Tribolium castaneum: one gene and its partners. The main gene of each other region encodes a partner of the protein of the gene in region 7 in a complex. Links are inferred from orthologs where the notes say so. Each region holds a gene or a part of one and is shown on either strand. Other genes may lie near its edges. The genes, in order: Srrm1, Sf3b1, cysteine-rich PDZ-binding protein, l(2)37Cb, mdlc, splicing factor 3B subunit 4 and Sf3b2.

The links.
Region 1: Sf3b2 (region 7) and Srrm1 share a complex: the UniProt entries of both Homo sapiens proteins name them as parts of the minor spliceosome. The link is inferred for Tribolium castaneum from reciprocal best matches to the Homo sapiens genes SF3B2 and SRRM1.
Region 2: Sf3b2 (region 7) and Sf3b1 share a complex: the UniProt entries of both Homo sapiens proteins name them as parts of the SF3B subcomplex of the 17S U2 SnRNP complex. The link is inferred for Tribolium castaneum from reciprocal best matches to the Homo sapiens genes SF3B2 and SF3B1.
Region 3: Sf3b2 (region 7) and cysteine-rich PDZ-binding protein share a complex: the UniProt entries of both Homo sapiens proteins name them as parts of the minor spliceosome. The link is inferred for Tribolium castaneum from reciprocal best matches to the Homo sapiens genes SF3B2 and CRIPT.
Region 4: Sf3b2 (region 7) and l(2)37Cb share a complex: the UniProt entries of both Homo sapiens proteins name them as parts of the minor spliceosome. The link is inferred for Tribolium castaneum from reciprocal best matches to the Homo sapiens genes SF3B2 and DHX16.
Region 5: Sf3b2 (region 7) and mdlc share a complex: the UniProt entries of both Homo sapiens proteins name them as parts of the minor spliceosome. The link is inferred for Tribolium castaneum from reciprocal best matches to the Homo sapiens genes SF3B2 and RNF113A.
Region 6: Sf3b2 (region 7) and splicing factor 3B subunit 4 share a complex: the UniProt entries of both Homo sapiens proteins name them as parts of the SF3B subcomplex of the 17S U2 SnRNP complex. The link is inferred for Tribolium castaneum from reciprocal best matches to the Homo sapiens genes SF3B2 and SF3B4.

The regions. Positions count from the first base shown.
Region 1 is NC_087398.1:3,112,110-3,116,109, reverse strand, and holds the start of Srrm1 (serine/arginine repetitive matrix protein 1), read right to left. Parts: upstream 2,801-4,000; 5' UTR 2,505-2,800; coding exon 2,490-2,504; intron 2,393-2,489; coding exon 2,303-2,392; intron 2,253-2,302; coding exon 2,130-2,252; intron 2,081-2,129; coding exon 1,910-2,080; intron 1,859-1,909; coding exon 1,521-1,858; intron 261-1,520; coding exon 1-260. UniProt on the Homo sapiens protein: Part of pre- and post-splicing multiprotein mRNP complexes. As a component of the minor spliceosome, involved in the splicing of U12-type introns in pre-mRNAs. Involved in numerous pre-mRNA processing events.
Region 2 is NC_087395.1:16,040,238-16,044,179, forward strand, and holds the start of Sf3b1 (splicing factor 3B subunit 1), read left to right. Parts: upstream 1-1,142; 5' UTR 1,143-1,259; coding exon 1,260-1,287; intron 1,288-1,341; coding exon 1,342-1,610; intron 1,611-1,659; coding exon 1,660-1,786; intron 1,787-1,791; exon of another isoform or gene 1,792-2,224; intron 2,225-2,428; coding exon 2,429-2,508; intron 2,509-2,621; coding exon 2,622-2,810; intron 2,811-2,858; coding exon 2,859-3,942. Other genes in the region: corepressor interacting with RBPJ 1, read left to right, coding at 806-992. UniProt on the Homo sapiens protein: Component of the 17S U2 SnRNP complex of the spliceosome, a large ribonucleoprotein complex that removes introns from transcribed pre-mRNAs.
Region 3 is NC_087394.1:8,405,689-8,408,049, forward strand, and holds cysteine-rich PDZ-binding protein, read left to right. Parts: upstream 1-1,207; 5' UTR 1,208-1,324; coding exon 1,325-1,497; intron 1,498-1,555; coding exon 1,556-1,685; 3' UTR 1,686-1,861; downstream 1,862-2,361. Other genes in the region: Noc1 (CCAAT/enhancer-binding protein zeta), read left to right, coding at 559-687, 735-1,102. UniProt on the Homo sapiens protein: As a component of the minor spliceosome, involved in the splicing of U12-type introns in pre-mRNAs. Involved in the cytoskeletal anchoring of DLG4 in excitatory synapses.
Region 4 is NC_087398.1:7,190,229-7,194,516, forward strand, and holds the start of l(2)37Cb (pre-mRNA-splicing factor ATP-dependent RNA helicase DHX16), read left to right. Parts: upstream 1-1,488; 5' UTR 1,489-1,649; coding exon 1,650-2,002; intron 2,003-2,050; coding exon 2,051-2,367; intron 2,368-4,288. Other genes in the region: T-cell activation inhibitor, mitochondrial, read left to right, coding at 1-419, 467-567, 675-818, 868-999, 1,047-1,281. UniProt on the Homo sapiens protein: Required for pre-mRNA splicing as a component of the spliceosome. Contributes to pre-mRNA splicing after spliceosome formation and prior to the first transesterification reaction.
Region 5 is NC_087396.1:11,857,735-11,860,831, forward strand, and holds mdlc (E3 ubiquitin-protein ligase RNF113A), read left to right. Parts: upstream 1-1,357; 5' UTR 1,358-1,379; coding exon 1,380-1,497; intron 1,498-1,589; coding exon 1,590-1,804; intron 1,805-1,859; coding exon 1,860-2,332; intron 2,333-2,375; coding exon 2,376-2,553; 3' UTR 2,554-2,597; downstream 2,598-3,097. Other genes in the region: Syx16 (syntaxin-16), read left to right, coding at 1-283; vih (ubiquitin-conjugating enzyme E2 C), read right to left, coding at 473-893, 946-1,049; probable chitinase 2, read left to right, coding at 2,872-2,950. UniProt on the Homo sapiens protein: Required for pre-mRNA splicing as component of the spliceosome. As a component of the minor spliceosome, involved in the splicing of U12-type introns in pre-mRNAs. E3 ubiquitin-protein ligase that catalyzes the transfer of ubiquitin onto target proteins.
Region 6 is NC_087395.1:2,320,617-2,322,969, forward strand, and holds the end of splicing factor 3B subunit 4, read left to right. Parts: intron 1-1,023; coding exon 1,024-1,812; 3' UTR 1,813-1,853; downstream 1,854-2,353. UniProt on the Homo sapiens protein: Component of the 17S U2 SnRNP complex of the spliceosome, a large ribonucleoprotein complex that removes introns from transcribed pre-mRNAs.
Region 7 is NC_087396.1:14,198,314-14,202,578, forward strand, and holds the start of Sf3b2 (splicing factor 3B subunit 2), read right to left. Parts: upstream 2,801-4,265; 5' UTR 2,654-2,800; intron 2,530-2,653; 5' UTR 2,495-2,529; coding exon 2,395-2,494; intron 2,344-2,394; coding exon 2,117-2,343; intron 2,065-2,116; coding exon 1,883-2,064; intron 1,832-1,882; coding exon 1,630-1,831; intron 1,577-1,629; coding exon 1,400-1,576; intron 827-1,399; coding exon 594-826; intron 457-593; coding exon 102-456; intron 48-101; coding exon 1-47. Other genes in the region: uncharacterized protein LOC103313715, read left to right, coding at 3,167-4,265. UniProt on the Homo sapiens protein: Component of the 17S U2 SnRNP complex of the spliceosome, a large ribonucleoprotein complex that removes introns from transcribed pre-mRNAs.

The DNA of each region.
Region 1 (4,000 bases), on a different chromosome or scaffold from region 7:
TGGAGCGGGAGCGACGTTTCTCCTTGTCCTTGGAGAGGGAGCGCGACTTGCGATCCTTTGATGCTCGTGGACTAGACGACGAACGGGATCTCGAATGCGATTTGCTGGGTGACTTGGAGCGTGAAGCCGACTTTGAACGGGAGCGAGATACTGATTTCGAACGGGAACGGGAGTTACGCTGCTGTTGCTGCTGTTTGCCGTTGCCGCCGGCCATGGACATCAGCTTCGCTTGAAGCTTTGACACGGGCTGGGAACTCTCTCTAGACAGTAAAGCCAACGTTAAACCTGCCCACATCGTTTGCAAAACGGGCAACAAAAATAATGGAATCAAGACGAAGCCAACGATGCATTTTGATTACACAAAATGTCCGAACAAACATTAAATACATCGGTACAACCCATCACATACAAAAAAAAGGTAACGCTATTATTTAAACTGTTATTCTTCCTTACAAGTGGTTTTTAATTTTTGTAATTATTTTATACAATGGACGATAAAGTTTTATAAAACCAATAAGACTGAGGTATTTATTTATAGCCATAATATAGTTTATATAACTGACTTTTTTTAATAAAAGTGCTTGGACGCAAGCTAAGACAAAAAAACTTTAAAAATGTTTTCTTGGCAAAGAAGAACACCGGGAAATAAAACTTCTAATACAAATATAAAAAATCTATTAATAAATTCGTGTTTACCAGGCACTGGCACGATAATGATTAGTGTGAAAAAAAAAACAAAATAAAAAGTGATAAATACCAACGTAATTTTGTAATAAAAATAACATTTATTTTAATACATAATTAAAAAATGTTTTAATAAAGCTACAGAAAAAATATTGTACGTTACTCTTATGAAAACACAACGTATCACTCACCCACGTAATGCAACATATCGTTTTTAATCCTTGTAACGTAAATAACCGTTTGCATAATTTTTCGACGTAATTAAAAACAGATTACAAAAAACCTGTAAACTAATATCTATTCGAATAATTTTAAGAAAATTATTTGAATCACATAACAAAGTCAACTTGCTCACACAACTACGTCCATTTCCAATATAACGTTCCATCATTAGATGATTAAAGCTGCATCATCAATGCATGTTGACAAAGAATGGTTTTTATTAAATACATACAAAATCACAAAAATTAATCCACAATTATTTTAATACGTTAACAAATAAAAATAAAATCAATCCCAAAACGTGCCAAAATAGCGCAAACCTTAGAAAACTTATTAAACAAAAAATCCACGCAGTATTAAAATGTGCAAATTTTTTCACTTGCTTAAAATACTTTTAGCCAGTGATATAATCAAGAAAGAAACCAACTTTCTCTAACGTTCTTTATTTATTTATTCAACGAATTTTGCGCGTCATAAAAATAATAACCATTTTTAGCATCTTGCTGAAATTGTGTCGTAACACGAGTTACTGAAGCAATTTACAAAACTCACCACTTACCACAACGTGCAATTAATTTCCGCAACAAATTTAATCTATCAGTAAACAAACTTACGAATTATGTTTAGAATTGGCAGTACTGCTTTCCAATTTGGCAGAATCCTCTCTGCCATTATTCTCCCGTTCGTTGGGACTTGCGTTGCCGTTGTTCCTCAAATCATCAATCTTGATCCTGGATCTGGAACGGCTCCTTGACCTCTTGTCCTTCCCTCTATCGTTGTTCCTGCTGGACCTTTCAACCGACCGCCTCCTGGGCCGCGACCTTGACCGTGATCTCCTCCTAGACCTGGACCTGTCCCTATCCCTGTATTTCTTCTCCTTGTCGGACTTTTCGCGTTCGCGCTCTTTTTCTCTTTCCCGGTCCCGAATCTCACGCTCTTTTTCCTCTTTCTCCTAATATAACACAAGCGGTGATACCACCAAAAGTATGTAATTTATGCAAACCTTCTTTTTTATGATTTCTTCACGCTTCAAGTCCAAGAGTGAGTCGGGGATTCCGGACGGGTTCTCCTGTGCTGAGATCAAGAGCGCCCACAGCTCGGCCATGAACTCGCGCGCGTTTTTCCCATGCAGAAACCCCGTAAGATTGATTTGGATCTTTTTAGGATCGGGAAACTGCAACGTAAATATTTAAGCAAGCGAGTTTCAGTTGGCAATGTTGTACCTTCTCATCTAGTTGATTATAAACAAAATCGACGACGACGTCGTCATCAATTTTCAAGATTTCCGTTAATTTGTCTTGGATCCACGGCTTGATGACATCAAGTTTAATTTTGGACATATCAACCTGCAATTGAGCGCTGCTTTATCACGGTACCTACGCTTGGCTTAATTTACCCTCTGACTCAAACAATCGCTGAACTTCATCTGCTTCAGGAGCTTTTTTTCCTTATCGCTGAAGCGATTGTCTTGCTCGGTGGTTGTGCCCTGAAACGAGTTGTTTACAACAATAATCCCTTAAAATATTTGACAGTTCTATTAATAAACACCAAGGGGGGACGTAATCCACTTGCAAAAAACTCACCGTATACATCATCATAGAGTCCGGAAATGGTCCTTTCGTTGCAAACTAACAAAAACCACTCAAATTACTAAATCAAGAAACGAGGAACTGTAGCACAGACGCCGGTACTTGACTTCACGATATACACATAATTGAATTCTTCACATGATTTACTATAACACTAAACTACAGCGGTTAATGCAAACTCCCGATTAACGCGACTCACAATAAAAAAATCATCGTTTTTTACAATTAATCGCGCACTAAATTCTACAAATCCATGTTGCTTCCAACAAAATGGCGTGGCGTCATGGCGTCAAATTTGTTGATAATTCCAGATTCTGCCTTACCACCGCAGCTCTACCGCACCGACCGGGCCAAGCGCGACTTTAAAATCTGAGAACTCATTCAAACCTATTTTAATAAAAGCCGCTTTATCGCAAAACTACAACAACGCCCAACCACGTATTTTACTAAAAATGAGGCAAAAACGCTACTTTGTGCAAAAATAGCACACAAGAGCAGCCCAGTTGTAAAAAATAAAATTCCGGAAAAATTCCCAAATGAACTGCTTTTTGCCGGTCATTCACTCCCAATCAAACGCTCTAAACATAAAGTGCTAGTCAAAAAAACTGTTTTGTTCACGAAATCAAATCCCAATTGGTATTTTTCTTAGAACTCGAGAAACAAAGTTGTCTTCAGCACAACATAATTGGGGGCCCAGATGAGACAGGTAGCCTCCATTGAACCGTAATGGTCCGTCGACTATTAGCCAGTCATCTGTTATAATAGGAAAACAGGGTGTTCTCCCACTTAGCAACTGTTCTTGTTCTTTAATCCCTCCCAGGTACAACATTATATCATTTCCGTTTCACAAGTTCAAGAACAACCTGGTCTTCAGTCTACTGGCACACTTCAAAGAAATTATTTCGTGCAGCACCCGACCAAAGTGCACCAGTGACCACAGTGCCAGTTAGTGAAAAAATAAAGTAGAAAAAAGGTGGTTCAAATATGGATTGGCAATTTTGAGTGAAACGCACCGAAAATTATTGTTTGCTAGATTTGCAATTTTTCGAGTCTCATAAGTGCCAGAGTCAGGACAGGATGGCCATTAGCAAAAATACGGTTTTTGCGGTAAGTTTGCAGGGGCGCAGGGCTCAATTCGCGCGAGTATGTAGATTTACCGATATTCAAAATATTTGCCCTCTGCAGCCCACATAAACGCCGAAGAACAGTTATATGATGAGGTCAATGATCAGGTATCGCTTTGAGTAGGTACGTACTGGACAGGTGGTCAATGTAATGCACGGGACAGTGTCGGGTTTAGATGATTTTACCCATCATTGACGGTTTTTTGGAAAACCGGTGATGTCATCATCTTGTTGAGTATTTGGTCAGGTATTTCGTATTGTCTGAGATGACTAGCCTTCGGAATGAGGTTGAGATGGTAATTAAACGGTACTTTTCGTGATTAATTTTTAAAAGACCTACAGCCGAAGACGAAATTCATGTCACGAAGTTTCCGTGCTTAT
Region 2 (3,942 bases), on a different chromosome or scaffold from region 7:
TTTGTACGAAAATTTTCATTTGCAGTAGTTCATTTAAAAAATCACAACTCTTGAAACTTTTACAATAAATAAATAATTATATTAGTATTCGATAACCAAAGGTTCAAAGGGTCTTTTCAAATTTTCAGGATTGTCAAATGTCAAATTGCAAGACTACTATGATTTTTTGAAATTGATCAAAAAGTAATTATAACAGTTTTTTCAAATTTTTGAATGGTAATCAAAAGGATATCGATTTTTATGGAGACTTTTATCAATATCTCCTATATCTATCTCTTATACTTTTTAAAATAATCTCAAAAAAAAAAGACCAAAAGCTCATTGTTTTCAATTTTAATCGAGTAAACTTTCGAAAAATACGATAAAGTTGTGCTATTAAATAAAAGTACTGCTTATTTGATAATAAATCAACTAAAAACTAAATAAAAGTTGGACAGTTGTTGACCATTTTGCAAGGTCTACTTGATTAACTATGAAAATTACGAAGTAAAATCCGTGTTTTTTTTTGTAATTATTTCTAAAAATGTAGGAAATGGGTATAGGACGTGTTCATAAAAGTCACCATAAATATTGATGTTCGATTGCTGTTAAGAAAAAAGGATCGTTCCATTTGAAAGACTGAGTTATAGCCATATTTTGCCAAAATCATACTAGCCTTGAATTTTGACAAATGACAATTTTACAAAAATTCAAAAATCCCTAAATCGATTAAAATAATATTTTTTATTTAAAAACGACAAAAAGGGGGCAATTACAAAAAATAGTACAAAGATCTTTTAATTTACTATTAATTAATTGATTACAGGAAACTGGAAATTGTGGAGAAAGCAATCAGTAAAAGGAACGAAAAGAATGGGCGAAGAAGTTCCGATGAGGACAGGTCAAGGAGGGACAAAAAGCACTCACGGCATAACAATGATGACTACAGACGGGACAGGAAGCGAAAATCTGATGATTCCTATTATGAAAATAGCAAAAGAAGACGCTCTTAAGTTTTTGTTGTACATTTCTTAGAATTGTTGTGATTATAGGGATTATCATGATACTTGTAATAATTTAGAAAACGTAATATATTTTTAAACGTATTCCACCGAATTTTATTTATAAATCCCGCCAACTTTAGCGACAGGCTGGCTATTGGTCCATTTTCGCGCAGGCGCTTAATGAGTCGCCATTTTGTAACGCAAGCTTGTCATTGATTTTCCTTGAAAGTGTTTTGAAACGAAATAAGCCAAAGCAACAAGCATTGGTGCTAGAAAATGGAACAGATACCAAGGACTCATGAAGGTACGCTGTTTTTTGCACCCAAAAGCCCGTTTCATGACTTTTTTGCGTCTCTAGACATCGAGGCCCAAATTCGTGAAATCCAGTCTAAAAAGAAGGAAATTCCGGTGGAAGAGGAGCGAAACGAGAAGGGTGTAGGTTTAGGCGAGAGTGGCTATTTTGATAGTGAGATCTACGATGGGGGCGGCGGTAAGGGTAAATACGAGGGTTATGTGACCTCGATCGCCGCCAACGATGAAGCCGATGAAGAGGACGACGATGTGGGTTATAGTCAGAAACGGACCGGACTGGGGGCCCCTGTGGCGCTCCTCAATGATGTCGCTCAGGTGAGATTTGTGTTATTTAAGTTTTGTGGTAGTTAACTGAGTTGTTTAGAGCGACAAGGATTTTGATCCGTTTGCTGACAAGAGGAGGCCCACGATTGCCGATCGAGAGGACGAGTACAGGCAAAAGAGGCGTCGGATGATTATTTCACCCGAACGTGTTGATCCGTTCGCTGACGGTGAGTAGTTGATTTCGTCCAAGTATTTATAGCTCGTTTTTCCACTTGTTTATGTTTTATATGAAATTTGAGATAATGCTGTTGCTGTCGCTTATCTCAAGTTTTGTATGTTATTGGGGTATATGAAAGATAGCGAATGGATGCATGAGTGAGCAAAAATACTCGAGAAAGTAGGCATTAAATAAAAATCAGTACAAAGAAACTAATTTGTTCTGTATTGGATTCCAACATTTAGGGGTGTCTTCCTAGAGAAGTAATCGCCGCGATTTTAATGGATCACTTCCGTAAAATGTAACGTTGGTAAACGAAAATCGAACAAGAGTGAAAGAGTGTATGCAATGTATAGAAAATTATTAATTACCCCAGCCTATTTCTAGGTTCGATTTGACCAGTTGTTTTGCGAGAAACTGCCTGATTTGTGATGGAGCACAATCACACGTACGTATCAAGATTTGTTCGCCAAATTCACTCCCTTTCAATCCCCAATATTCGAAAAATAATCAGTTTGAGTGAATTGTGGTGCAACCAAATCTTTCAATCATTCAATAAAGAACAGATACTAAATAGAAAAGTCTGACCATTTTTTGCCAACAAGTGCTTCCGTTTACTAATTGGCGTTTTTCAACGCTGTTATGTTTACAGGTGGCAAAACACCAGACATCAATGCCCGCGGTTACACCCAGATTATGAAAGAGCAGATGCTCAAAGGAGAAGAAAACGAGGTCAGTATCAAAAATTTATCACCTAGCCAATTTTTTTTCGTAATTATGTCCGGCAATGGAGTCCTTTGTTAACTCAAAGTTGATTTCTTTGACCACTTGTAATTTAATTTCAGTTGAGGAAAAAAATTCTGGAAAAATCCAAAGACGGTTCACTCAAATCAACAAACGGTGAGGTAAAGAGCGCACCTAAGAAACGGGGGCGCTGGGACCAAACCGTAGACGAAGTCGTCGTCCCCAGCAAAAAGAAAACTCTCTCCGTAACGACCAACAGTGCAGCTGCTACCCCCATCTGGGATGCTGACGTAACAATCCCAATTTTTTAAAACCAATTATTAATAAAAAAATTACAGAAAACTCCAGCCGACCACCGCTGGGACGAAACCCCCGGCCACAAAGGCAGTGAAACGCCGGGCGCCACCCCCGGCCAATCCACCCGTATCTGGGACGCGACCCCCGGGGCTGCAACTCCAGGTCGCGAAACGCCCGCTCATGACAAGAGTGCCAGTCGTCGAAACCGCTGGGATGAAACACCCAAAACCGAGCGTGAAACTCCGGGACATTCGAGCGGCTGGGCTGAAACCCCGCGCACCGACCGAACCGGAGCCGACTTGATTCACGAAACACCGACTCCGGGAGCGTCCAAACGCCGCTCCCGTTGGGATGAAACTCCCTCTGTTCAGACACCGTCGGCGCACATGACTCCGGGTGCTATGACGCCGCAAACGCCGCACGGAACGCCAAGCCATGCCACTCCGATGCTGACTCCGGGCGGGTCAACTCCGGTCGGAGTCAAGGCGATGGCCATGGCGACGCCCACTCCGGGACACTTGGCGTCCATGACTCCGGAACAACTCCAGGCCTATCGATGGGAGCGGGAGATTGACGAGAGGAATAGGCCGTATTCGGATGAGGAATTGGATGCGATGTTTCCGCCGGGGTACAAGATTTTGGCACCTCCGGCTGGGTATATACCCATCAGGACGCCAGCAAGGAAATTGACAGCCACGCCCACACCCATGGTTAATACTCCCCAGGGATTTTTCATCCAACAGGAAGATAAGACAGCCAAATATCTGGATAATCAACCAAAAGGGCAGAATTTGCCGTTCATGAAACCAGAAGATGCGCAATATTTTGATAAATTATTGGTCGATGTTGATGAAGAAGCTTTGAGTCCTGAGGAACAGAAAGAACGGAAAATAATGAAACTACTCCTAAAGATCAAAAACGGGACCCCTCCCATGCGAAAAGCCGCCTTGAGGCAAATCACAGACAAGGCTCGAGAATTCGGTGCAGGGCCCCTTTTTAACCAAATTTTGCCCCTTTTAATGAGTCCAACTCTGGAGGACCAAGAACGTCACTTGTTAGTCAAAGTCATAGACCGAATTTTGTACAAATTGGACGATTTAGTCCGTCCCTACGTCCACAAAATAT
Region 3 (2,361 bases), on a different chromosome or scaffold from region 7:
ATATACTTTTTCAAATTATTGTGTATGTTATATCAAGTAGGTTGAGGAAGTCTAAATATTTAATTTAATTTAATGACCGGAACAACATTATTAATAACAAAAATCTTTTTTTCTATATTAATTACTTTGTTAATTTTAATGAATTCTTTTTCTACCTCAGAAGCTTGAGTACACGTATTTATTGGAAAGAATAATTATAGAACAGATTAAGATTCATAATTAATATAAAAAAGTATATTTTGCTGACAACTGCTAATTTGTAGAAAAGAATTGTAGAAAAATTTTGAAAAGAATTACATAGATAAAAAAAATTAAATATTTATTAGCAAACGCTGGAAACCAGACAGAAATGCCTAAGTTTGTTGTAGATTAAGTTTACAAAAATAATAATAATCTGAGTGATCAATGATTTTAAATCTAAGTTGGCCACAATAACTATCAAATCTAAACGTTAATTTTTGTACTCGATTTTTAAATTTCACCTACAATTTATAGTACCAATAATAAAAATAAGTGTTGCCAACTTAATTTCAAAATGTATTTTGCTCTGTTTTCCAGAACGGACAGATGATGATGATAGTGATGACGATGATAGCGAGATGGAGGATGCTTCTGACGAAGAATTGTCAATGGACGAAGATGAAGATTTCGATGAAGATGACCTTGAAATGAACGATGATGACAAAAGTATATTTTTTGTAATAATAAAACACAAAATTATCCTTTGCTTGCAGTGCTTCTGGGTGACTTAGACGACGATGAAGACGAGGAAGTTGTTTTTGACGATGAAGAACCGAAGTCAGCAAAATCAAAGAAGAAAAAATCCAAAGACACAAACTCAATATTTGCATCAGCTGAAGAATTTGCCTCATTGCTTGACGATGAAGGTAGTTCGAAAATAGCCCCAGGAAGTTCAAATGCGTTATCAAATAAGGATAATGCGAGCACTAAACAACTTGCCTGGGAACAGAGTAGAAATAGGTGGTTGAAGGGATTTGATGAAGTAGTTGGCAAAAAGAAAAATAGTAAAGGTAGCAATTTTGGCAAGAAAAGGAAAGGTCCAAATAAATTTAATAATAAGGCAAAGAAGAGGAAGAATTAATAATCGACAAGGAAGCAGTCGATTGCATTTTAATTAATATAATTCTTTACGAATCCACCAGTTTTGTGTTTTATTTAATTCGTGTTGGTTGTATTTCGCGAATATACAACTACACATAACCCATAACCTAACTTTTCGTGACGTTTAACAGTACGTTCTGTTTATTATCTTCGTGTTTACAATTTCGTACCAAATTCACAATAATTATCGTGTTTTGTGAAAATGGTGTGCGAAAAATGCCAAAAGAAGTTGGGCAAAGTGATAACACCAGATCCTTGGAAAAGTGGGGCTAGAAATACAACTGAGTCAGGGGGTAGGAAAGTTAACGAAAACAAGGCTTTAACAGCTAGCAAAAACAGATTTAATCCATACACGTCCAGTTTTGAGACTTGCAGGTTTGTTAATGCAAGTAATCCTTAAAATTGATTTACTCTTCTCATGTTTTTATTGTAGAATATGTAGGCAAAAGGTGCACCAGGTTGGGTCACATTATTGCCAGTCCTGTGCTTATAAAAAAGGAATTTGTGCGATGTGTGGTAAGAAATTGTTGAGTACGAAGAATTACAAACAATCGTCAACTTGAACTACATTTTGTGTGTTACTTTTAAACAAAATTAAGCCTATTCTAAGTTTTAGAGCAATTTGCATTGTTTTGTAGGTACTGTTAGGTTTTCTGTCTGTATACAGTGAGTGTACGACAATTTAATTATCTTGAATGATAAGGTGTGTAATTATATTTAATAACTTATGACAAAAGTTTTTTATTTCATTTTTATGATAACATTTTTAACTTATTAATTCATTTCTACCTATTCTATCCCTATTTCTTTTTTGTTATTAAGGTTGACTATACATTATTAAAACGCAACTATCAAATATTCTAGAATTATTATTTGGACTTTTTTATAAACTAAAAAACTGTACCTGTAATATTATTTCCACAAAGTTAAAATACGATTTTGTCTTATTGCACTAAAAAAATAATTGAAAAAATTGATGTCTGTCGTATTATTAAATACTTCTAAAAGTGGCTACACTGTATATAACCTTTTAGAAATGAATTTCAGCGATTGGATTTTAAAAATTCACTTCCCTGTATATAAAAAAAACGTGACGAAGTCGTAACAAAATTCAATGAATCAGACAAACCTCTTTGTTTTCCACCTTGCAGTAATTACTTATCTCAGTGATTATATTTTTTGTTGGTGACGTTTTATCCATACACTTACACAATACTGCCGTTTAATTTTATTCAGTTT
Region 4 (4,288 bases), on a different chromosome or scaffold from region 7:
ACACCAGCAACATCGATTTTTCGAAAGTGAACGAAAACGACCCGATCTTTGGCCCCATTGTCATGCGCCAAAAAATCAACGAGGCCAAAGAAGCCCTCAAGTTACGCAACTGGCTGGTTAAGAACTACCAAAGTGCCTTAGAAAAACTCGAAGCCAATCGGCCTCTACGCGAGGAGGTCGACCGTTTGCGCAAAAAAATCGCCCAACAGTGGAAGCTGACCGACGTCCGCTGGGACTGCGGCTGGAATGTCACCCATTTTCGGGGCTGTCTGCAAAGCTTTATGTCTCTGGCTGAACAACATCCGGAAGTTATGCACGTTTTGAAGGGCCGCACGCTGGTGTTTGCACCCTTTACAGGGATCAGCCTAGAGGGGCACATCATGCTCAACAGTGGGGAAGTGCGGCACAATTGGCTTGATGTAAGTGAAAATTTGAATGTGGTTTTGAAAGTAATTCTTGACCACAGTTGATCAAAAACGTGAGAAAGCACGACAAAATCCTATTCCGAATTCCTGGTTTTGAAAAATCCGTCTCGCAAGTCTTGAGAGGGATCAAAGTTGGCAGGAGGTAAGAATTCTCATGTTTCACATATAAAATTTAGTCGTCAGTTTTTCTCAGACTTTTGGTTATTATTGATTGGATTTGAATTAATTTAAAACGATTTGTTTTTTCAGAAAATTTATGCCGAAAGTTTTGGCGGGAGAATACGAGCGAAACCTGCAACAAATCACGACTTCTTTAAGTGACTATAGAGGAAGGCGGGGGTTCCCTAAGCAGTGGCCCCAGTCGTTAGAAGAATTTGAGATTGTTGTTGAAACGTATGAATTTTTTTATTTTAATTTAATCATAAATGTTTTATTATTTTAGGGAAGCTGGACCTTTGATGGTCTCTCCCACTGGTCAGTTTATAGTCCCGTCTTCCCTACCTGGATTTTTGTTAGTCAATTTTATCACAACCAATTTAGAACACGCCAAGGAAAAAATGACTGAATATAAAAAGTTTGTGAATGTTTTATTTTGATTCCCGTTAATTGTTTCTATTTCAGCGATAAATACATAGAGCGGTCTTTGCAAAAACAATGCATGGATGAATTCAAGTTATTTAATCTTAGGAAAGATGATAATATAACACCGGATTTAATGATTAAATGCTGTGAACGGCTCTTAGAAAAAAAAATTGATATAGAACAATATCTAAACGGTATACATTTAAACGTAGCTACTTACTACTCTGTTCTTTCAGATGGAGTGGTTTGTATACCTTGGAATTGGAAATTGTGATAGTAGATGCGAAAAAAGACCAAAATTTTCACTTCTTCTAGGTAAAAAAATATTAACTTGTAAAATTATGTGATAAGAAATAAATCTATATTAAATACAAGTATTGGTTTATTTATCCCTGTGTCACAGCCTTTTAATATTTTAATAAATTGGTTTGAATGCAATCACTAAAATCGCATTCTCAAAATTTCGGTGCCACCGGACTTGTAACCTAACCACTTGTCAAGTTTGTTTTGACATTTAGAGGTTATGTTGTTGGTGGAAGAATGTAAAATTCAGTAAAACACTCTTTAATTAAGCAAAAAACTACACATATTAGCGAGGCACAAGTAAAATTTTGTAGTCAACACTTGCTGGAGTGCCTCACCATGGGCAAAAAAGACAAGAAGGGGCGTAAGCGCTACGAATCGAGCTCGGACTCCGAGTCCGTGGACAGTGAGGAAGAAGCTCGTCGTAAAGACCTGAAAGAACGTGACGAGTTCGCTAGTAGACTCAAAAAACGCGATGAAGCCAAAGTCCGCAACATTGTCCAGGCCTCAGACCGGCGCGCTTACGAGGAAGCCGCCAAGAGACTCAAACTGGAAACTGAAGACCGCGAAAAAATGATCCCCGCCTTGAGGGTGCAGTCAAGACGTAAATATTTAGAGAAACGTAAAGATGATAAAATCGCGGAATTGGAGGAGGATATCGCTGACGATGAGTATTTGTTCGAGGAGGAGATGTGAGTTGGTGGAATGATTTTGCGGTAAATGCCAACCTGAGGTTTTAGATTAACAGAACGTGAGAAAAAGGAGCGCGACCGTAAGCGGGAATTGCTGCGGTTGGCACAGGAACATGAAAAAGCGCGTGAATTGGAAAGGGTGCAGCGGTACCACATGCCCAGGGATTTGGGCAAGGGGTCAACAGCGGACTATGTGGAAGTTGATGAGCTGGAAAAGGTGCCCCAGTCGGAGCAGAAGAAATGGGAGAAGGACCAAATGGCGTCGGCGGTCTTCAAGTTCGGGGCCAAGGATTCAGCCAAGAAGGACGAGTACGATTTGTTGCTGGAGGACCAGATTGACTTCATCCAAGTCTTGCAAATGCCAGGTCTCTATTTTTTATAGTATCTTATGATACTTCGTCCCAATAAATGGAACATTAATTGCGTCATGAGCCATGAAGTAACAAAATGATAATTCGTAAAAATTAATTCTGAAAAAAAAATTTCGTATCTTACAAAAGCACAAAAAGCAGTAATAACGTTTCATTTGAGAGAAGGCTAATTAATTGAATATTAGCAAAAGTATGTAGTTTTGTTGGCTAAACGAAAAATTGAGGACTAGAATATTTTCATAAAATTATTACGGCAAAAGAAAATAATTTACTATTTGATGTCTCACAGAATTTTTATTGGAAGAAAATAGATAAAGAATCGTCCAAAATAAGTCAATTTCGGCTAGAATACGGCTTTTCAGCCACTTCTCAAAGAGTTTTCTCGTTTCTAAGCAAGAAATTGTACAAAATGAATGGTTTTCGTCCGAACTAGTGCATACACCGTTCTTTTGAGCTAGAATAAGGCGTTTTCAATCTTCTTTTATGCGTTGTTTTTTTGTTTTTAAGCAAAGAATCGCCAGAAATAAACCGTTTTCATCCAAATTATAACATAAATAGTTGTTTGTTTCCGGCTAAAATAAGCCGTTTTCAACCACTTCTCAAAAAGTTTTCTCGTTTGTAAGCAAAAAATTGTACAAAATGAATCGTTTTCGTTCTAACTAGTGCATAAACCGTTCTTTTGAGCTAGAATAAGTCGTTTTCAATCTTTTTTTATGCGAGTTTTTTGTTTTTAAGCAAAGAATCGCCAGAAATAAGCCGTTTTTATCCAAACTATAACATAAATCGTTGTTTTCGGCTAAAATAAGGCGTTTTCAGCCACTTATACAAGAATTTTCTCGTGTCTAAATAAGAAATTATACAAAATGATTTTTTTTTTCGTTCTAACTAGTGCATAAACCGTTCTTTTGAGCTAGAATAAGGCGTTTTCAATCTTCTTTTATGAGAGTTTTCTCGTTTTTAAGCAAAGAATAGCCAGAAATAAGCCGTTTTCATCCAAACTATAACATAAATCGTTGTTTTCGGCTAAAATAAGGCGGTTTTCAGCCACTTCTCAAAGAGTTTTCTCGTTTCTAAGCAAGAAATTGTATAAAATAAATCGTTTTCGTCCAAATTAGTGCAAAAAAAACGTTCTTTTTATCTAGAGTTTTTTCAATCTTTCGTTTTTAACCAAAGAATCGTCAGAAATAAGCCGTTTTTATTCAAACTAAAAATAGAGAAAAGACAAAGTATTGACTTGCATTTGACCTTTTCAGTTCATAGTAGGTAGATTTAATTAAAATAATTGCTCTGTATTTCTAAAAAGTAGGCATTTATTTTTTTATTTCTCTGTAATCTTCTTACAAGAACCGATTTAGCACCTGTTTAAGAATCATTTGGATACTTTTTCATTAAATAAGTAATTTATAGGTAAATTGTATTGCTGTTTGAATGCTCTCAATTGAAAATATTAGCTTAATAGTTCCATGACAAATAGTTAATGTTGAACTATACTGAGAACGTCTGTGGAGGAGCTGTTCAAATAAACACATGAACGCAAAATTTGAAATAAAATGTTTAAGAACAGTAATTTAAAAATGGTCTTTACGTCACAGATCAGTTTTTATCTTATTTTAAATATTTGTACCCGAGATTAAATAAGTTAAAGTCGATTTATTTTTCTATAAAAAAAGTTACCTTCAAACCGCATGAAAAAAATATCGCAATGAGAATTTTATTTACTAAAAAATGGTAGATGCATAATTTTTTTATACAGGATGCTCAAAAACTGGCGCACCAATTTAATGGTACGTTGTTGAGCAAAATTCGTTAAAAAATTCCTAATCTCATATTTTAGAAAGTCTAGAACTACAAACGTATTTTGTTAATGTCTTCAGTTTTCATTATTTTTTAATGTTTTTATGTTTCTCACTAAGTA
Region 5 (3,097 bases), about 2.3 Mb from region 7:
GTTCGCGCAAGAGCGGGAGCAAGAAGTGAACGCAATTGTTAAGTCCATTGTTGACTTGAACGAAATTTTCAAAGATCTCAGTCAGATGGTCGCCGACCAGGGGACAGTTCTGGACAGAATTGACTACAACGTGGAACAGACGCAGATCCAGGTCTACGAAGGCTTCAAACAGCTGCAAAAGGCAGACGCTTATCAGCGGAAAAACCGCAAGATGTGCGCGATCCTTGTATTGGCTGTAACCACAATTATTTTATTTTTTACCTTGATTATCGTGAAATCCTAGTCGTGATAACGTATTTTTATTCGCTAAGCCAAATATTTATTTATGTAAATAAATTATTGAAACTTGATCGTTTTATTCAATCATAACACACGAGAAATAGTAAAAATTATATAACACAAATATGTACGCAGTCTATTATTACACAATGACATCTTAAATAACTGAAATTTTTCTAATGCGAGATCAAATTTAGACTTCCTTGTACGACTCTAACACCAGCTTTTTGTACTCTTCTTTTTTCTTCCACTTGTCGGCGGCCGTCGTGTTCAGCGGACTCCTCGTGTTTGGTTCCCCTAACAAGGCCTGAATTGATAACAAAATTGTTCTAACGTCATAAAGCGCCGACCACTTCTCTTTTAAAATATCTAAGCAGATGTTCCCACTGGTGTCGACGTTGGGGTGAAAGCAAGGCGTGATGAATTTTACTACGGGGGCCGCGTAGGGGTACGAGTTCGGGAATTGTAAACTTAGTTTATATTTTAAACTCTCATAAACCGTGTCTTTGGGCCCCATTATGGTACCTACCCACTTGAACAGGTTGTCGCCCTCGGGAAACGCCGAGATGCTCTTGTCTTCGGACATCATCAAAGTCATAAGCTCTTTGTGCAATCTGCAAATCGAACAAAGATTAGCACCCCAATTTAGACTCACTTTTTGCCCACCTTTTTGTCACTGCGTGATTATCGTTCGATACCTTCTTGGAACTTTCGGCCTGCTTTACGTTCTCGGGCACTTGCTCCACGAACGGATTGAAATTTTGGGCCATTTTTACCACGTTCACTAATAAATTATCCTAATTCTACTTTAATTGATTTGTAGAAAATTCGTTACGATGCAGATGGATGCCAAACGTCAACGCACTTTCAAATTTAGCCAATCAGGAACCGTCACCCATAACTACCAACAGAACCGCGAAAGCAATTAACATTCAAGCACTTGCTATTACCATTATGACGCACTAGGAAAACGTGTAATTACAAATTCAAATTAGATTAAATTGCTTTGGCTCAAGTCTAACACCACAAAGGCGTTATTGAGTTTTGAAATTTTTGATATTTTGTTTGGCGTCAGCACTGACACTTGACACTTGTCAAAGATGGATGATCCGCGTGACGTTAAAACAGGACTTGATGAAAGTTGCACTTTTATATTTAAAAAACGGAATATAAAAAATAAAGGGGCGCGGAAGCGCCAGAAATCCAGTTCGGAAGGAGGTGGGTACCCCAAATCCGTGAATTAACCTTCACTGTTGTTGTAGACTTAGTTTTCGTGTTTTAAAGGTTATGTTTGTTTGCGATTTCTTCAGAAAAGTCCAACAGTGAGGACGAATCTGCGGTGAAGCGGGCGAACCGGCGTCGGGGAAAAGCAAACCCCAACTTCCAAACCACAAGCAAAGCCAAACAAAAAGAACATGAGCAGCAGAACTACTCAAGCAGTGAGGAGGAAATTATGGTTAGTTACAAGTCCAAACGGTCCGCTATGCCTGAGGGACCTCAAGATCAGGGAGCGACGGCGACTCTTGTAAGCCACTTAACCACTCACTAGTATTATCCAATCAATAATTATTTAATTAAAGGAGTTTGAAACTGAGCGCGATCGTGACGCCCAAGCCATTTTCGAGAAGCGGCTAGAAATTAATAAAAATCTTGAGGGCAAGGAAGACGATAAAGTCTACAGAGGCATCAACAACTACGCACAGTACTACAAGCCCAAAGACACGGCTGCGGGCAACGCCAGTTCGGGAATGGTCAGGAAGGGCCCCATCAGAGCCCCCGCAAACCTGCGTGCCACCGTCCGGTGGGACTACCAACCCGACATTTGCAAGGACTACAAAGAAACAGGCTTTTGCGGTTTCGGGGACAGTTGTAAATTTTTGCACGACAGGAGTGACTACAAACACGGCTGGCAGCTTGAGCGGGAATGGGCGGAAGGCAAATATGGGCAAGAAAGCGACGAGGATAAACAATACGAGATTGACTCGGACGAAGAGGATTTGCCGTTCAAATGCGTCGTTTGCAGGGACAGCTTCGTGGACCCGATTGTCACAAAGTAGGAGGCACCTTTTACGAGTCTTTATTACAGTTAATTTTAGGTGCAAACACTACTTTTGCGAGAAGTGCGCCCTCGAGAGGTACAAGAAGACGACGAGGTGCTTCGTCTGCAACACGCAAACGAGTGGCGTTTTCAACCCCGCGCGGAAACTCATAGCGCGGCTGAATCGAGAGGATAATCCTAAGAAAAAGAATGACTCAGATTCGGATTCCGATTAATGTTTTTGTAAATTGTGTAATAAATAAACAAATAAAAAATTGAACTGGTTTTATTCCAATCCCACACGTGAAGAGGCGAGTGAGACAGAGAAGACGCTACTTCTTAGTGAGGTGCGGCTTCTGAGTGAAAGGTATAGTAACAGTCAAGCGGGTAACCCCCAACTGGACACATTCATTGTATCTTTCTCTGTCTCAAAAGTACCAAAAACGCGCGCGCGAAAGAGAAAGCTGCTACCTTGCCATTATAACTGTAATATATATTGTACAAGAAATATAAAGTTCATCTCTCATTTGTGCAAAAGTTGCGAGAATACCAAGATGGTATCACTAAAAAATGTTTGTGCTGTTTTTGTGATTTTCGTAGTGACTTTCATGGATGAAGTTAAGGCCCTTACTGGTAAGGAATCCAATTGGTTCCTAATCACCGTTAATTGTTTTTCTAATCACCGAGTTATCACAGTATTGTGTGGTAATGCATTATGTTAATAAGATTTTTATGTGACACAACAGTTAAATAAAAACCGTACGGTGAAACGATGATATT
Region 6 (2,353 bases), on a different chromosome or scaffold from region 7:
AATGTCAGTTTGACAAATTCGTGACACTTGACGGTGTTGTCGAAGTGCACATGTAAATCAATGTTCAAGGATACCACCCTTAGATAGCCCTTAACTGTTTAAATTTGCATTGTTTTTGATAATTTTTTTATAGCTTTGTGTTGGTAATGAAAAAATGAAATTGATGACGCACACGCAAATCGAGCTGACCGCCACTATACCTAACTAGGCAGAAAAATATCGATAATTTCTTATTTCTTTTTCTTTCTTTTCTTTTTTCTCGTTAATTTTTGTAGTGCGCTTTCACTTTTGCACCAAGCAATGGGCCACTCTGAATTATTAATGTTATTATTGTTATTTAAATATTGAAAACAAAAGTTTTTGTCTACTATATTTTGTAAAAGTATTTGGAAACGATAGGAACAAAACAAAATAACTAAGTTAAGTGTGAAATGTATTATTTTCTTGTAAATTTACATTTTTAAAAAATTTAAAAATTTAAAAATAATTATTAATCGTTTTGTTAGGAAACGATTACTTACTGTGAAACATAAAAACATTAAAAAATAATGAAAAGTAAAGAAGTTAAATACAATAAGTTTGTAGCTCTAGATTTTTTAAAATATGACTTTAGGAATTTTTTCAACATTTTTCCCGTAATCTACACTTGCTTCTCAATAACGTACCACTGAGTTGGTGCGCCAGTTTTTGAGGACCCTGTATAACCGAATTTCAAGATCTCAAATTTTTTCGTTGTCCGCTTCGCATGAAAAGCCCCAATTGTTAAATCAGGTGTAAGTGCCTTGTATTGCTTTATGCGACAGATTTAGGGATTCTCATGTATTGAAAAAAATTACCTATACGAGCATTCTTCCTTCAAAATTTATTTATTTATTTTTATTTATAATTTTGCTAATCTCTGTATGTTATTTATCAGTTGAGTTATTTGTCTCACTCCATTTGGTAAAATTAAACGTTCAGCTTCTCCACATACCAATCTATTTTTTTTTTCAAACGTTTTTTTTATATTTTTTAATATTGTAGATAATGAGAGACCCCGACACTGGCAATTCCAAAGGCTTCGCTTTCATCAACTTTGCAAGTTTCGAAGCATCTGACGCCTCAATCGAAGCAATGAACGGCCAATACCTCTGCAACCGCCCCATTTCCGTCTCCTACGCCTTCAAGAAAGACTCCAAAGGCGAACGTCACGGCTCCGCAGCCGAGCGTCTCCTCGCAGCCCAAAACCCCCTCTCCCAAGCCGACCGCCCCCATCAACTATTCGCCGACGCCCCTCCCATGGGCATGATGCCCCCAGGAATGACTCTCGCTCCGCCCCCACCTCCCGTAATCCTCGCTGGAATGATGCCTCCACCACCCCCCACTCCGGCAAGTATGCAACCTCCTCCACCCCCACCAGTTCCTCCACCCAGTTCTTTCCCCTCGGGGATCCCCCCTCCGCCATTACCTCCCTCCCAACCGCCCTTGCCACCAGGTGCACCTCCACCGCCTCCAACCTCCGCCGCTGGAGCACGGCCCCCTCTGCCACCAATGCCTGCCTCAACGCAAGCTTCAGGCGCCCCCAGGATGATACCACCTCCGTGGCAAGGTGGAGGTGGGTTACCGCCACCACCACCTGGACCGCCAAACTCGGCAGCGCCCCCAACGTCAGGTGCACCGCCGTTCCCGGGATGTTTCCCGCCGCCACCGCCTCCAGGGGGGCGGCCCCCGAATTGGAGGCCGCCGGTTAATTTTGGTGGAGGGAGACCACCGTTCCCACCAAGGGGACCTCCACCACCACCTCCGAATAATTTTAGCGAAAATAATTGGTAAAAACAATAATACAATAAAGTCAAGGTGAATTTTTTTATTTCGTTTTGTGTCTTGTTTTTTGGATTTTCCTATTATTATCCTTTTTATTATTGTCACTATTTCCAGTAAATGGTATTGTGGTACCAGGGGCTTGATATCCTAATTCCTCAAAACTTAATGTTTCTAGTGAAAGTAGAATATGTATCATTGGCAATTTTCGTTTAACAACTATTTGGTCTAAATCAGGAATAACTGGATCCCAAAATTCTTCTACTCTGCAAAATTGTAAAATATGATGCAATTTCTGATCCAAGTCGTCTTAGGCTGAAATTAAGTTGGTGACACTCTTAGTGGCGTTTGCCATGCAATGTCACCAACTTATTTTAAGTCATGTCAGCGGAAATTTTTAATTGAAAACAAACTTACACCCTATAACACAGTTTCGTTATTTGGTGTAACTGATTATTGTGTTCCCGTTTCATAATTTCAGCACATGTTACAGTTTTACCAACAGATTGTCCAAATCCTGTCCACACAACGGCTTTAGCACTTGGAAATTCAT
Region 7 (4,265 bases):
AGCTCGCCCCAGAGGGTGCGATCCACGGAAGGGTCCTCACCAATGTCCTAAACATTGATATTTGAACAAAATTCAATAAAACAATATTATAAAATACTTACATCTATGTTGGTAACATTTGTTCCAAACACATCACCGTACAATGGTTTTCCATTTTCGTCCACCGGTGGTTTTCCCCACCCACCGGCATGGTACCCAAAGGCACAACCATCAGGGATGGGGGCATTTAATCCCGGAATTTTCAAGTTGGGGTAGCTGGGTGGGGGACCATAACGTTGCATTGCAATCAACCATGGTGGGGGTACTTTATTAGCGTTAGGGCCCACAGGCATTCCTAAGGCCGTTCTTAATTCTTCTGATAAATCTCCAGGCTTTTTTTCCTTCAATCTGGTTTCAAACTCTTTGCCCTCGTAATAAAGGTCCCCATGGATGGTCATTTTGGGTTTAGTTTGCCACCTAACAATAACAATGAGATTATAAAAAAAATTCTAAATAAACAGCTGTCTATCTTTTTCAATTATTCCCAATCTCTACGAATACACAATTACAAACAATAGCAATTTTAGCTTTTATCAAAAATAAAAAAAACGTACTTGAAAAATGCGTCGTGTAATTTTTGATAATCAATATCGATTTTTCCAAGTTTGGGTCTGGTCTTTTCCCGCATTTTAGCTTTGAGTGTTTTGGATTCATCCTTATCTTGCAATGACGCACGCATTTCCATGATTCCAGTCCTTTTAATGAAATCTGGAAGATTAAAAGGTGGTTTCTCTATACCACGTTTACCTTGCAAGTACTTTCGTTTGAAACACCAATGACGTGGTACCTGAAAAACACATTATTCAGCCAATTGCTAACTCCGCATATATTTTCATCTGCTTTATTATTATGAAAAATCTGTTAAGTTTGTTCCAAAACATCACTTTTTAATAAAAAATTCAAATCCTTGCTTCTTATGCGTTCAGTAAAATGTTTAGTTTGGAACAAAGTTCGTCTAAAGAAAATAATAATTAATAATGCTACAGAATTCTATATGTGCGCAAAATTAAGAGTTTTCAAATTGGAAGTAGTGACGAAAATTATTTTTCCAAAGCTTACGACTTAATTCTATTCTTAATAATAATTTAATAAAAGGTATTCTCTTTTTTTATTAATTGTTAGTAGTTCCTGAATTTTGTTAACATTTTCGTGTTATAATAAAATTGTTACAAAGCATAATTTTTTGTGTCCCATCCGTAACTAATTATTTATAACAACTTTTAGAAGTGGCAAAATGAATTTAAATTGTTAATCCATCTTTTTTTTTTAATAAGCCATTTTTAAAATAATAGTTATGTGCCGTCCGTAATCATGGAATGGCTGCATTACTTTTAATTTTTGAGAAAATTATAATCGTTACCTGAACGGTATTTCTGTGAGCTTTCAATTGGACCAACAATTTTGGGTCCCTGGCTGTTACATCGTGCATTTCTACAACGTCTGGTCTACTGACTAGTTGTTTAAGCTCGGCGACGCTAAGTCGCGTCAATTTTTTAAGCTTTCTTTTGGACATTTTTGACTTATCGTCAAGCTTTTTCTGAAAAAAAAATAGATACATATTTTTTATTCATAATGTAATACAACACTTACGTCGTCCCCATCTTCCATTTCTTCCTGAAAGTGATCTCCTATGCTATTTAACATTGATTTACTTGACAATGATGTTGGCGTTGCCAGAACTGGGGGTGGGATATCATGCTTTTGATCAGTTATTTTAAACACGTCAAAAATGCTATAAAACTGCCGGTATTGTGGAGCCAGTTCAAGAAGACTAATCGTCTCTTGGACGTACCTTTAATTAAACTCATAACAATTTTGTCAAACAAATAGAAAAAACACCTACTCAACTTCCACATCTGTATTCCCATCCTCTTGCCCATCCTTTTTCTCCTCCTCTTCAGCCGCTTTATTCTGTTCATTCTCCCTGTTTTTCTTGTTCTTCTTCCTTTTCTTCTTCTTTTTATTCTTACTGATTTTGGTGGTCTCTTTCACCTGACTCTCTTCTTCATTTTCAACCACGGGTTCCTAAAAAAACAATCGTTATAACTATATTCATACAAAAAATTAAAAAAGCTACAATATTGTCATCTTTCTCCCAAAGCGCCTCTCTAGGAGTCTGCGGCTGTTGAACTACTGTTTCCGTTTCTTCTCGTTCTAGTTCACGCGCTCTCTGATTTTTTAACGCCAACACCTCTTCCAACACTTGAGGTAAAACAACTTCAGTTGGTGGCGTCTCCATCATCTGATCAGGAGGATCCACTTTTAGGGATAGCAATGAGGGGAGTTGTTTTTCACCACCAACACCTGAAATAGTCCAATGCGATATAAACAAACTGGTTGAAAACAATCAATTACCATGTTCACCAGCCCACCCTTGCATACCTGACCCAAACATCCCTTCCTGGTGGGGCACAGGGTGCTCCGGGACACCCTCTTGTAGCTGATCCGGATTCATTTGTCAGTAGAATCAGTGCTTGTTGCAGCCGTAAGCTGAAAGGAGACGGGATTATGGAATTGTTCTAACACTAAAAAGCACTTTTCTCAATTTGATATAACCTCTTTCTCATACTAATTTCTTAAAAAATGTTTGAATCAAAGCAAGAAGCGAACTTACTATAACAGATAGTCTGTTAAATTTTATCTACAATGAGGAAAAACCGCAAACTTTTAATATTATTAATAATTTATTGCGGCATTCAGCAACGTTTCGGTCGACATTTTTGTTTGGAATTAGAGCGAATGCGACCGTAATCGCGACAGCTCGATTTCCTGCAAAAGCGAAAACATTTCCCAAAATTTTCATACAGAATAAATCAAATGTAGTAGTTATTTATCCAGTTAGTTACAACTTTCTCTATTAACATCTTGTAAATACAATAATTTATAAATATTTAATCAATTTATTTTTCAAACAAGATGCCAATCTAATTTGGACCAATCACGCATCTCAATCTCAAATGTCAGATTCAAAAAAACGGTTTTGTTGTCGGTTTGTCATTTGTGTGCCTTGTTTACTGTAAAGTTACTATAAAAAGCGAATAATTGGATTTAACACAACGTTAAAGGTAAAAACCGAGTTTTTTTGATACGAAAATTACATAAAAATTGTTTTATAGCTTGCATTAAAATGTCAGTGAGGTCCAGCAGACGTTTAAATAAAAAACTAAATCCACCTGAAATGGAAAGCACCAGTGGCCCCTTAAGCAGTGCCAAAGCAACAAGAAGTGGACGAAAAGTCAGAAAAACGAACGATTTGCTTTTCTTCAGTTTTAATGCTTCTGCAGTGGAAAAAGAAGACGAAAATATTAAGCCAACGTCGTCAAAGCATAATAAACAGAATTTGCCTCGTTTGGAGTTCGATGAGAGCGGGAAAAGTGACAAAGGAAGCCCTTTTTTGTTCAAGGAAGTTCAAAAAATCTCGCCGCCACCTGTACCAAAAAATAAAAGAAAAATCGTCAAAGCTAAGAGAGTTCTTAGGAGTACCAAGCAATGTGAACTGGAAGACAAGTGCAATGATGAGACATTAGATCTCACTACAAAAAGTTTGAAGGAGAAATCTTCCGAAAATTCTGTAAATCTTGTGAGTGATGGTGAGGGAAGTTCACGTTTCATCACAGTCACGGAGAAAATGGCTCAAGATGGACACGTGAAAAAAGAAAATAAACATGGCAAGACACCAAAGGTCAAAAGACAGAGTGGGAAAGGAGAGTTTTCTTCGTTTAGAGACATTGAAGATTTTAAATCTCTTGAAGAACCGTCAGAAAATTGCAAGAGCGTAAATTTGAGCCCTTTAAATGAAGATGAGGGAAGTTCAAGCTACATTGAAGTCAACGAGAAGAGTACACAAGATGGACGTATTACAGAGAAAAATAGTCCTAGCAATGGTACTTTCCCCAATTTTGTTGCTTCAAGCAAGACACCAAAGACCAAAAAACAGAATTTGTCTTCTTTGGAAGCGGACGAAAGTGGGAAAGGAAAGTTTTCTTCGTTTAGGGAAATTGAAGATTCAAAATCTTTTGAAAATTGCAAGTCTGTAAACTTGAGTCCTGTGAATGAAGATGAGGGAAGTTCAAGCTACATTGAAGTGCAGGAAAAGACTACTACAGAGAAGATCAGTCCTACCATTGATTTGCCCAAATTTAATTTTGTTGCTTCAACGGCGAAAAAAGAAAAAAAATCTGAAACATCAAAGGACAAAAAACAAAATGTGCCTGTCATTGAGTTGG